Sus scrofa: one gene and its partner. The protein of the gene in region 1 interacts with the protein of each later gene in a pairwise test. Links are inferred from orthologs where the notes say so. Each region holds a gene or a part of one and is shown on either strand. Other genes may lie near its edges. The genes, in order: LGALS8 and APEH.

What was found.
Region 2: the proteins of LGALS8 (region 1) and APEH interact in binary tests that used the Homo sapiens proteins (3 or more experiments, as listed by UniProt). The two-hybrid records come from large-scale screens. The link is inferred for Sus scrofa from reciprocal best matches to the Homo sapiens genes LGALS8 and APEH.

Annotation. Positions count from the first base shown.
Region 1 is NC_010456.5:54,871,368-54,875,173, reverse strand, and holds part of LGALS8 (galectin-8), read left to right. Parts: intron 1-483; coding exon 484-649; intron 650-3,339; coding exon 3,340-3,474; coding exon of another isoform or gene 3,475-3,489; exon of another isoform or gene 3,490-3,806.
Region 2 is NC_010455.5:32,204,265-32,208,170, forward strand, and holds the start of APEH (acylamino-acid-releasing enzyme), read left to right. Parts: upstream 1-1,598; 5' UTR 1,599-1,611; coding exon of another isoform or gene 1,612-1,623; intron 1,624-1,698; coding exon of another isoform or gene 1,699-1,831; intron 1,832-2,316; coding exon of another isoform or gene 2,317-2,443; intron 2,444-2,810; coding exon of another isoform or gene 2,811-2,841; coding exon 2,842-2,904; intron 2,905-3,003; coding exon 3,004-3,079; intron 3,080-3,168; coding exon 3,169-3,332; intron 3,333-3,498; coding exon 3,499-3,636; intron 3,637-3,730; coding exon 3,731-3,822; intron 3,823-3,904; coding exon 3,905-3,906. UniProt on the Homo sapiens protein: This enzyme catalyzes the hydrolysis of the N-terminal peptide bond of an N-acetylated peptide to generate an N-acetylated amino acid and a peptide with a free N-terminus. It preferentially cleaves off Ac-Ala, Ac-Met and Ac-Ser.

The DNA of each region.
Region 1 (3,806 bases):
CTTTGTAGGATTGCAGGGCCGCCTGTGAGAGCAGAGAACTTTATCAGGGCTCCTCTTGAAATGAACTTAAACGTTTCTGCTTCTGCAACTTTTTCCAGAGAGGTTCAAGCTTCTGAAAGCTTGAAATGAGAGCTATTTCCTAGCAAGTAGCCTTTGAAGAACAAATGTAAATGCTAGGGGTGCCTGCTTGAAAGGACCCTGCTCCTGTGGCAGACCCTAGCCTTTGGTTCACTTCTTAACCCTTTCAAGTTCTCACCCAGATCTGTAGCCTTAAACATGGATTTAAAGTTTTGCATGTTTTTAGTTTGCAAATAATATGTCAGTGGTATGCTGACTCAGACTCCTACGTGTTGCCTTCCTCAGCATTCCTGGATCCCTGTGTACATGTCTTGTGTAGTCAGTTTCATTCTGATTAAGAATGCAGAAACCCCACTCCTCCCTTCTACTTGGCTAATTGATTTTTTTTTTAATTCTCTCAAAAAGCTTTAATGTTGACCTGCTATCAGGAAAATCCAAGGATATTGCTCTTCACTTGAACCCACGCTTGAATGTTAAAGCATTTGTAAGAAATTCTTTTCTTCAGGAGTCCTGGGGAGAAGAAGAGAGAAATATTACCTGTTTCCCATTTAGTCCTGGGATGTACTTTGAGGTAAGCTGTTCTTCTTTGAAAATGGGACAGGAAAATGAATCGTCAGGGCAGGGGTAGGGTAGGTGAGTCCTTTAAATCAGGTCCAACTTAGTATGCGGAGACTGCGGGTGGTTTTTGTTCATTTGGAGATGGTATTTTGAATGCCCTCTTTCATCAGCATTAAATGGCCGAGCCAGTAGAGAGTCACATTTATTTACATGGGAATTATTTGTTTTTCATAACATTTTTGTGTAGCCCCCATATTAGTTACTAAGAATTTTCACAGGGACTGTGTCTCAGGACTGGAGTAACATGTTTAATCCTAAGTGAACATGAGGACGCAGGAACCACAGGCTGTCCACACTGCCTGCCACCTCCCATCTCGGTGACACAGCTTAGGAGGCAGTACTTTTGTCCAGGTGGTCCTGTTTGTATACATTCAAAGAAAGATACATTTAGACCACTGGAACTTGAAGGCATGTAGTTCTGAGCCTCCACATCTGTGAACATTATGATAACACAGCATTTCCCCAAGGAGGGCATTTCTGGGCTGTGGTCAGTCTCCTTGATGTGTGGCTGCTGGGTGGTTGGCTAGGTGCCCTCACGAGCTTAGGTGACTCCCTGTCTCCCATGGTCATTTAGGGTGGTTGAGGTAGGTCATGCTTTACATTTTAAAACTGTCACATGCTCCGGACCATTTGAGTTCTCAAGAACTCAGCTGTTCAAAGCATGAACAGCAGGGTGGAATGGCAGATGGCGATGTGATGCTGGCATTTACTCCTGAGTTCCAGTGCGGTGCAGCCCTGGTCCGTGCAGTGACAGACGGCTCTGTGCCTTGGAAGCTGTGAGTTTGGATTCAGGAGGATGTGGAAGGTTGATGGCAGAGTTGCATTCACTGGACTGAGGAGATTTCTGGGACAGGTCACTGGAGGTGGGGAGGGCAGGCAGCACAGTGGCCCACTGACGGAGCAGGGGTCAGGTTGTGGAGGGTGACCTGCGGTCACGGGAGGCAGAGGAGTGGATGCCCCAGAAGGAAGTTGATCCTTTGGTCAGTGACAAAAAAAACCAGTAACTTGTTTTTTGACCTGAGCCCCAAGTTTGGAATTACTGTATTAAAAGAGGACAGGAATAAATTCTAGAATCATCTTTCCCTTTTGTTAGTTTCCTATTTCAACAACAGTAATTATACTCACGCTGGATCATTGTCATTTTTTTGTAGTGATGTATTATTTTTCCAAGTAGCTTCAAACTCCTGCCTTTTTAATAGGCTTTCATTGAGATTCTCAGATCTTTTTACTTTGATTTTACAGTATCGTCTGTTCCTTGGCATTTCAGCCACTTATTAGTTCTAGCTGTAATCATTTAAAATCTTTCAGTTTTGTAATTTCACCTGTGAGCTTTTTATCATGTTCATGTTGGCATGAGCTGTGCAGATGATGGTGAGGGACTAAGTTCCACGTCCCCTTCGGTCAGGGGTCTCTCAGTCTACCAGGCCAGCGCCTTCACGTTTCTGTTTGTCAGGCGCTGGCTCCGCACTTGCTCTGCTGAGTGTGGATAACTGACTCTTTGCCACTGTGTCCACCTAATGCCAGCTTGTCTTCCCTTCAGAGCATGAGGCTGTGTCCAGTGTCCATCACCAAAGGTCCCTCCCAGCTGGCTGAAGCTGGGATGATTCCCACCGCTGTGGTGGGCCTATCACCCTGTGATGGATTCTCTCCCAGTTCTCCATGTAGCCCTAGAGCCTTTAACTTGTGTCAGCTGTCACTGTTATCCATGGAATGTCCTCCTCTTCCTGAGCCCTCCCCAGCGGCCAGCCCCACCAGTCCTGTCAAAAGAGAAGAGACACTTGCTTTGCTACTTCACAGATTCAGATTTTGTGCCTCAGCCTGGCCTCTGGGGAGGGGGCCAGGTTGGAGGAGGCAGTGCTCCCCCGACCCCACTCCGTGGAAGCCACAGTGGAGGTGGGGAGCAGTCATGCCCACCCACTGGCCTTTCCACTGAGGGTGGAAACAGGTGGCACCTTGGTGGCCAGACTGGAAGTTTGAGGTTTAGGTGTACGAGTGATGGAAGAGGAAGCGGTTTCTTCTGTGAACTGACATCAGTGATGAACCTCGGCCAGCAGGCTAGCAGGCTAGCTGCCCATGGATTTTTACAGCGCTGGGCTTTGAAGAGCTTTTGAGAAAGAGACAAGATGTGCTGAGCCGGGTGGGAGGCCGTGGTACAGTCCCTGGCAGATGCCTGCAAGTTTGGAAGCTTCGTATTGTCTGAGCGCCCGAGGCCCTAGAGTTTGAGGCCACAAAGTCTGGACCCAGGTCCCCTGGTTCTCAGCCTTTCAGTGGGAACGAGCTCCCCTGTGAATGAGAATCACGATGCTGGCCACTTTCTCATCTATGGAGTTCCCAAATGTCGCTGAGGGGGGCAACTCTCTACTTTCCCAGGAGCAGGGGGCAGGAGAGGGTGCAGAAAGGTCAGCAGGCCCTGGGGACAGTGTGAGGTTCCATGCCTGTAAGAGTCACTTCCCTGAGTGGGACAAGGCAGCAATTAACCAGATACACTTTGGGTCAGGTTAGGGTCTGAGAGCTCTCGGCAGGGAAGTTTGCAGGATTAGGCTGTGAGTCAAGCAAATGGTCTTACCCCTCTATTTGTGTGCAGGAAACAAAAACCTTGAAACCCAGGGCAAACACTAATGTGTGTATTATGCTTCCTTGCAGATGATAATTTATTGTGATGTTAGAGAGTTCAAGGTTGCAATAAATGGTGTACATAGCCTGGAGTACAAACACAGATTCAGAGAGCTCAGTAATATTGACACGCTGGAGATCGATGGCGACATCCACTTACTGGAAGTAAGAAACTGGTAGCTGGCACGACTGCTGCTAAAACTGAAATACAGAATGACTTCGTAACACTGGCCTTGTTACAGTGCATCTCACTACCACCACACGGCTTCTGTATATTGTTAGAACAAGCTTGCAAAATCATAACCGAGTCCTCCCGGTATCCTCAGTCCTCACCATGCAGTGTGGCTCTGTCTAGTGCAGAATGAGGAAATGGGAAGCAACAGCTTACAGTCATTATTATAACAGGCCTTTCTGCTCTTCCCCCCCCCCCCCCCCCCGCCACCCTGGCCTCTCTTTAAACCCACTTCACATTCAAGTATTTACTAAGTGCCTCCTGT
Region 2 (3,906 bases), on another chromosome or scaffold:
CATATGCTGTGGGTGCAACCCTAAAAAGACCCCCCCCAAAAAAGAGGAAAAGTAGTACAACATCTTTTGTTTATCTCTAACCATTCATTCCAGATATTTAAATGTTCATCCTCCAGTGCCTGGGCTCCAGAGGGCTGCACCGTGAATTTACAGCCAGTCTACTGCACATGTTCTCAAGGACAGGCACCGTGTTCCCAGTTTTCCTGTTATAAACAACAACTGTAATGAACATCCTAATTTCCAACTTTCCACCCAGGTTGGTGGCTGGGGCAACTCTATCTGCTCCCAGTTCTGGCCTTAACAGTCCTGCACACACTGGATGCTCACAAATGCAGGTGGCCCCAGAAAGTGGAAACTGTTTTTACTTAACTAGCCCGACGTGGTTGATGGGGAAGGGGAAGCTGCAGGCCAATCTCAGTCAAAAGCAAAGCAGGGCGCAGGGAGCCAGGCCCCTGAGGTGTGGAAGACCATCCAGGTGCAAGGTATATGGAAGAGGGGACATCGCTGCTGGCCTGACAGCTGGCCAGCCTCTCCTGCCCTCTTGAGCCATCATAAGCCCAGCCCAGTACTGCTGTCCTGAGGGAACCTGCCTGTCCAGGTTTTTCTTTCCACAGGAAGTGCTCTGGTTCTGGGTGGAGCCTGACCCCACCAGGCCCTTTGCACTCAAGAGCTTGGCCTGAGGCCTGGGAAGGCAGACAGAGGCCCACCAGTTCATGATCCCCAGCAAAGTGCCACTGAGCGGGTGGGTGAGGGCTGCAGGAGCAGATAGCTTAAGAGGTAGGCGCGGTGGCTGATAAAACCAGGCAACACCCTGCGAATTTGGCACCCGCCTTTCGTTGCCCAACACCCTAGAACTCTGCGAGCTATGTCAGGAGCGCACCTCTGTCCTTTCTCATTGGCCTGGGAGCCCCTCCAGAGCAGGGCCTGGCACCTCCTGGTGAATGTCTGCCTTCTAATGGACCAGGAGGACCCAACAGTCAGTTCCTGGCTGCGGGAGATCCCTGCTGGAGATAGCTTCGATCTGGCTTCAGCTCAGGCCCCATTCCTCACCTCTCCTTTTCTGGACTTCACCCGGGCTAGGCTCAGCCCCGCCCGGCCGCACCGCCTCTCTGCAGAGCCTTCGGTCCTCCGCCGCCCTCTCAGTCCCCGCCCCCCGAATGCTTAGGGCTCACCCCCGTCAGGCCTCACCCCCCACCTCCCTTGGGCCCTGTCTTTCCTCACAGACCTCGCCCCTCCCCAAAGATATGCGCCTTTATTCCGTTTCCACAGCACCATCCCCTCTCCTCACCAAGTAACTGGCCGGGGCTTGGCCCACACAGCCCGCCTCTCACCAGCCTGGCCTGCCGGGAAAGGACCGCTCCTTTCCCCAAGGTTCCCGCCCCTCCCATCCAGGACTCCTGCAGCCGCGGTTCCCACTTCTGCCCCACAGGCCCCACCTCCTTACCATCTAGGCCCCGCCCCTCGGGTAACGGTTCCGGCCCATTCGTAGAAGGTTCCGCCCCTCTCAAGGCAAGGTCCGGGTGGCAGGGCTGGGCCGCTGCGGGCTCCGCCCCCTGAGCTCACTTCCGGGCGCCAGCACTGACTGCCTAGCCCCGGCGCCCCAGAGCAACCATGGAGCGGCAGGTGAGGGATCGGCCCGCGGTTCCTGTGGTCTTTGCAACCCGGGCTGTGCCTGACCCTGCTGTGTCCCCTGCGCAGGTGCTGCTGAGCGAGCCCGAAGAGGCGGCGGCGCTGTACCGGGGCCTTAGCCGCCAGCCCGCGCTGAGCGCCGCCTGCCTGGGCCCAGAGGTCACCACGCAGTACGGGGGTCGCTACCGGACTGTGCACACTGGTGTGTGTATGGCGGGGAATCGGTGGCGGGCCTATTCCGGGGCCGTGCACTCGGGTGGAGAGGAGGGGGATGTGCAGGGCTCGCTGCCTGACAGTGCTCACGAGTTTGTGGAAGACCGGGCTTGGAGGGTGTGGGTGTGGAAGGGTGCATCCCCCAGCCGTGCACACAGGTGTATAGGGGGTGTTCTGGAATGTTGCCCATGAGTGCAGAGTGTGGGTCTTGTAGGGGTCACCCACCCCCATCATCCCATACTGTACCCCCCCTCAAGGTCCTAGGGCGGATGCCAGGAGCGGTAGTGGTTTCTCTCCAAGATGTCAGCTCAGGCTCCGGTGACCTAAACTTGAGTTGTAGCCAAGTGTTGCCCATCCTGCCCCCAGAATATCTGGAGTCAGATTGGGGAGGTGGGCTGGACCTTCCTCTGGGCGGGGTAGGGGAGCCTGTGCTGGGACTGGCCAAATTGAGCAGTCTCATGCCTCTCCTCGCAGAGTGGACCCAGAGGGACCTGGAACGCATGGAGAACATCCGATTCTGCCGCCAGTACCTGGTGTTCCATGATGGGGACTCAGTGGTGTTTGCAGGGCCTGCAGGCAACAGTGTGGAGACCCGGGGGGAGTAAGTTTGAGGAAGGAAGCTTGTGGGCAAGGCCACAGCCATCTGCAAGCCTTTTATGAATACCCACCGTGTGCCTTGGTGTGGGGAGGGCCCAGAAAGGAAGCCAGGAGCTTGTTTTTTGCCACTAGGAGCTCTAGAGACATGGTCATAAGCACTGGAGACTTGCTTCTGACGGGCCAGGACCGGAGCCCCTGCTCCAGGGAGGGGAGGCAAGGCATCTGCCATGGTAGGACTAGAAGGGCTGCAGGGACGCATGTGGGCCACAGCCTCAAGAATCTTGTCTAAGAGGTTACAGCCAGTAAGGGGATAGGATGGGCTATCACTGGGTGGGAGGTAGTCCTGATGCGTTATCCTGTGTCCTCCTCAGGCTGCTGAGCAGAGAGTCTCCTTCAGGCACCATGAAAGCCGTGCTGCGCAAGGCTGGAGGCACGGGCACTGCGGAGGAGAAGCAGTTTTTGGAGGTAAGTCTGTGTGGGACCGGGTGGTAGGCAGCTGGGGGCTCAGATCCACAGATAAAGCTCTGCTGGAGGACAGACAACCTGACTCCCAGCTGTCCTCAGGTCTGGGAGAAGAACCGGAAGCTCAAGAGCTTCAACCTGTCAGCGCTGGAGAAACATGGGCCGGTTTATGAGGACGGTGAGGCAGCTGGCTGGTGAGCAGGCAGGGTAGACAGGAGGGGCAGCCATAGCCCAGGGCTCCCCCTGATCTGCCTTTCTTGCACCCAGACTGCTTTGGCTGCTTGTCCTGGTCGCACTCGGAGACACACTTATTATATGTGGCAGAGAAGAAGCGCCCCAAGGCTGAGTCGTTCTTTCAGACCAAAGCCCTGGACGTCACTGGCAGCGATGATGAGATGGCCAGGACAAAGAAGCCAGACCAGGCCATTAAGGTGCTCATGGTCATGGCCAGTCCATGAAGGTTCTTCAGGGCAGCCCTGGGGCCCAGTATGTTCTCCACCTACACTGTGCCTATCAGAACTGGGGAGGCACTGTCTCGTAGGGGACAGGGCAGGCTCGTGCGAGACAGGCTAGGCCCTGAGTGTCTTGTGTTCTCAGGGGGATCAGTTTTTGTTTTACGAAGATTGGGGAGAAAACATGGTTTCCAAAAGTACTCCTGTGCTCTGCGTGCTGGATATTGAGAGCGGCAACATCTCTGTGCTTGAGGGGGTTCCTGAGAGTGTGTCCCCTGGACAGGTCAGTGGCGACTCAGCCTACGTCATTCCTGGAGTCTGAGGGTCCTGCCTGAGTTACTCCCCTGGTTTACCCCTGCCCCCGGTCTTGTTTACAGGCATTCTGGGCCCCTGGAGACACAGGTGTGGTGTTCGTGGGCTGGTGGCATGAGCCCTTCCGGCTGGGCATTCGCTTCTGTACCAATCGAAGGTGAGGACAATGGAAGGGGCAGGGCAGGGGGCTTTGCAGCTCAGACTGTCCATGAAGCTGAGTGTCTCTCTGGTGGTTCCAGGT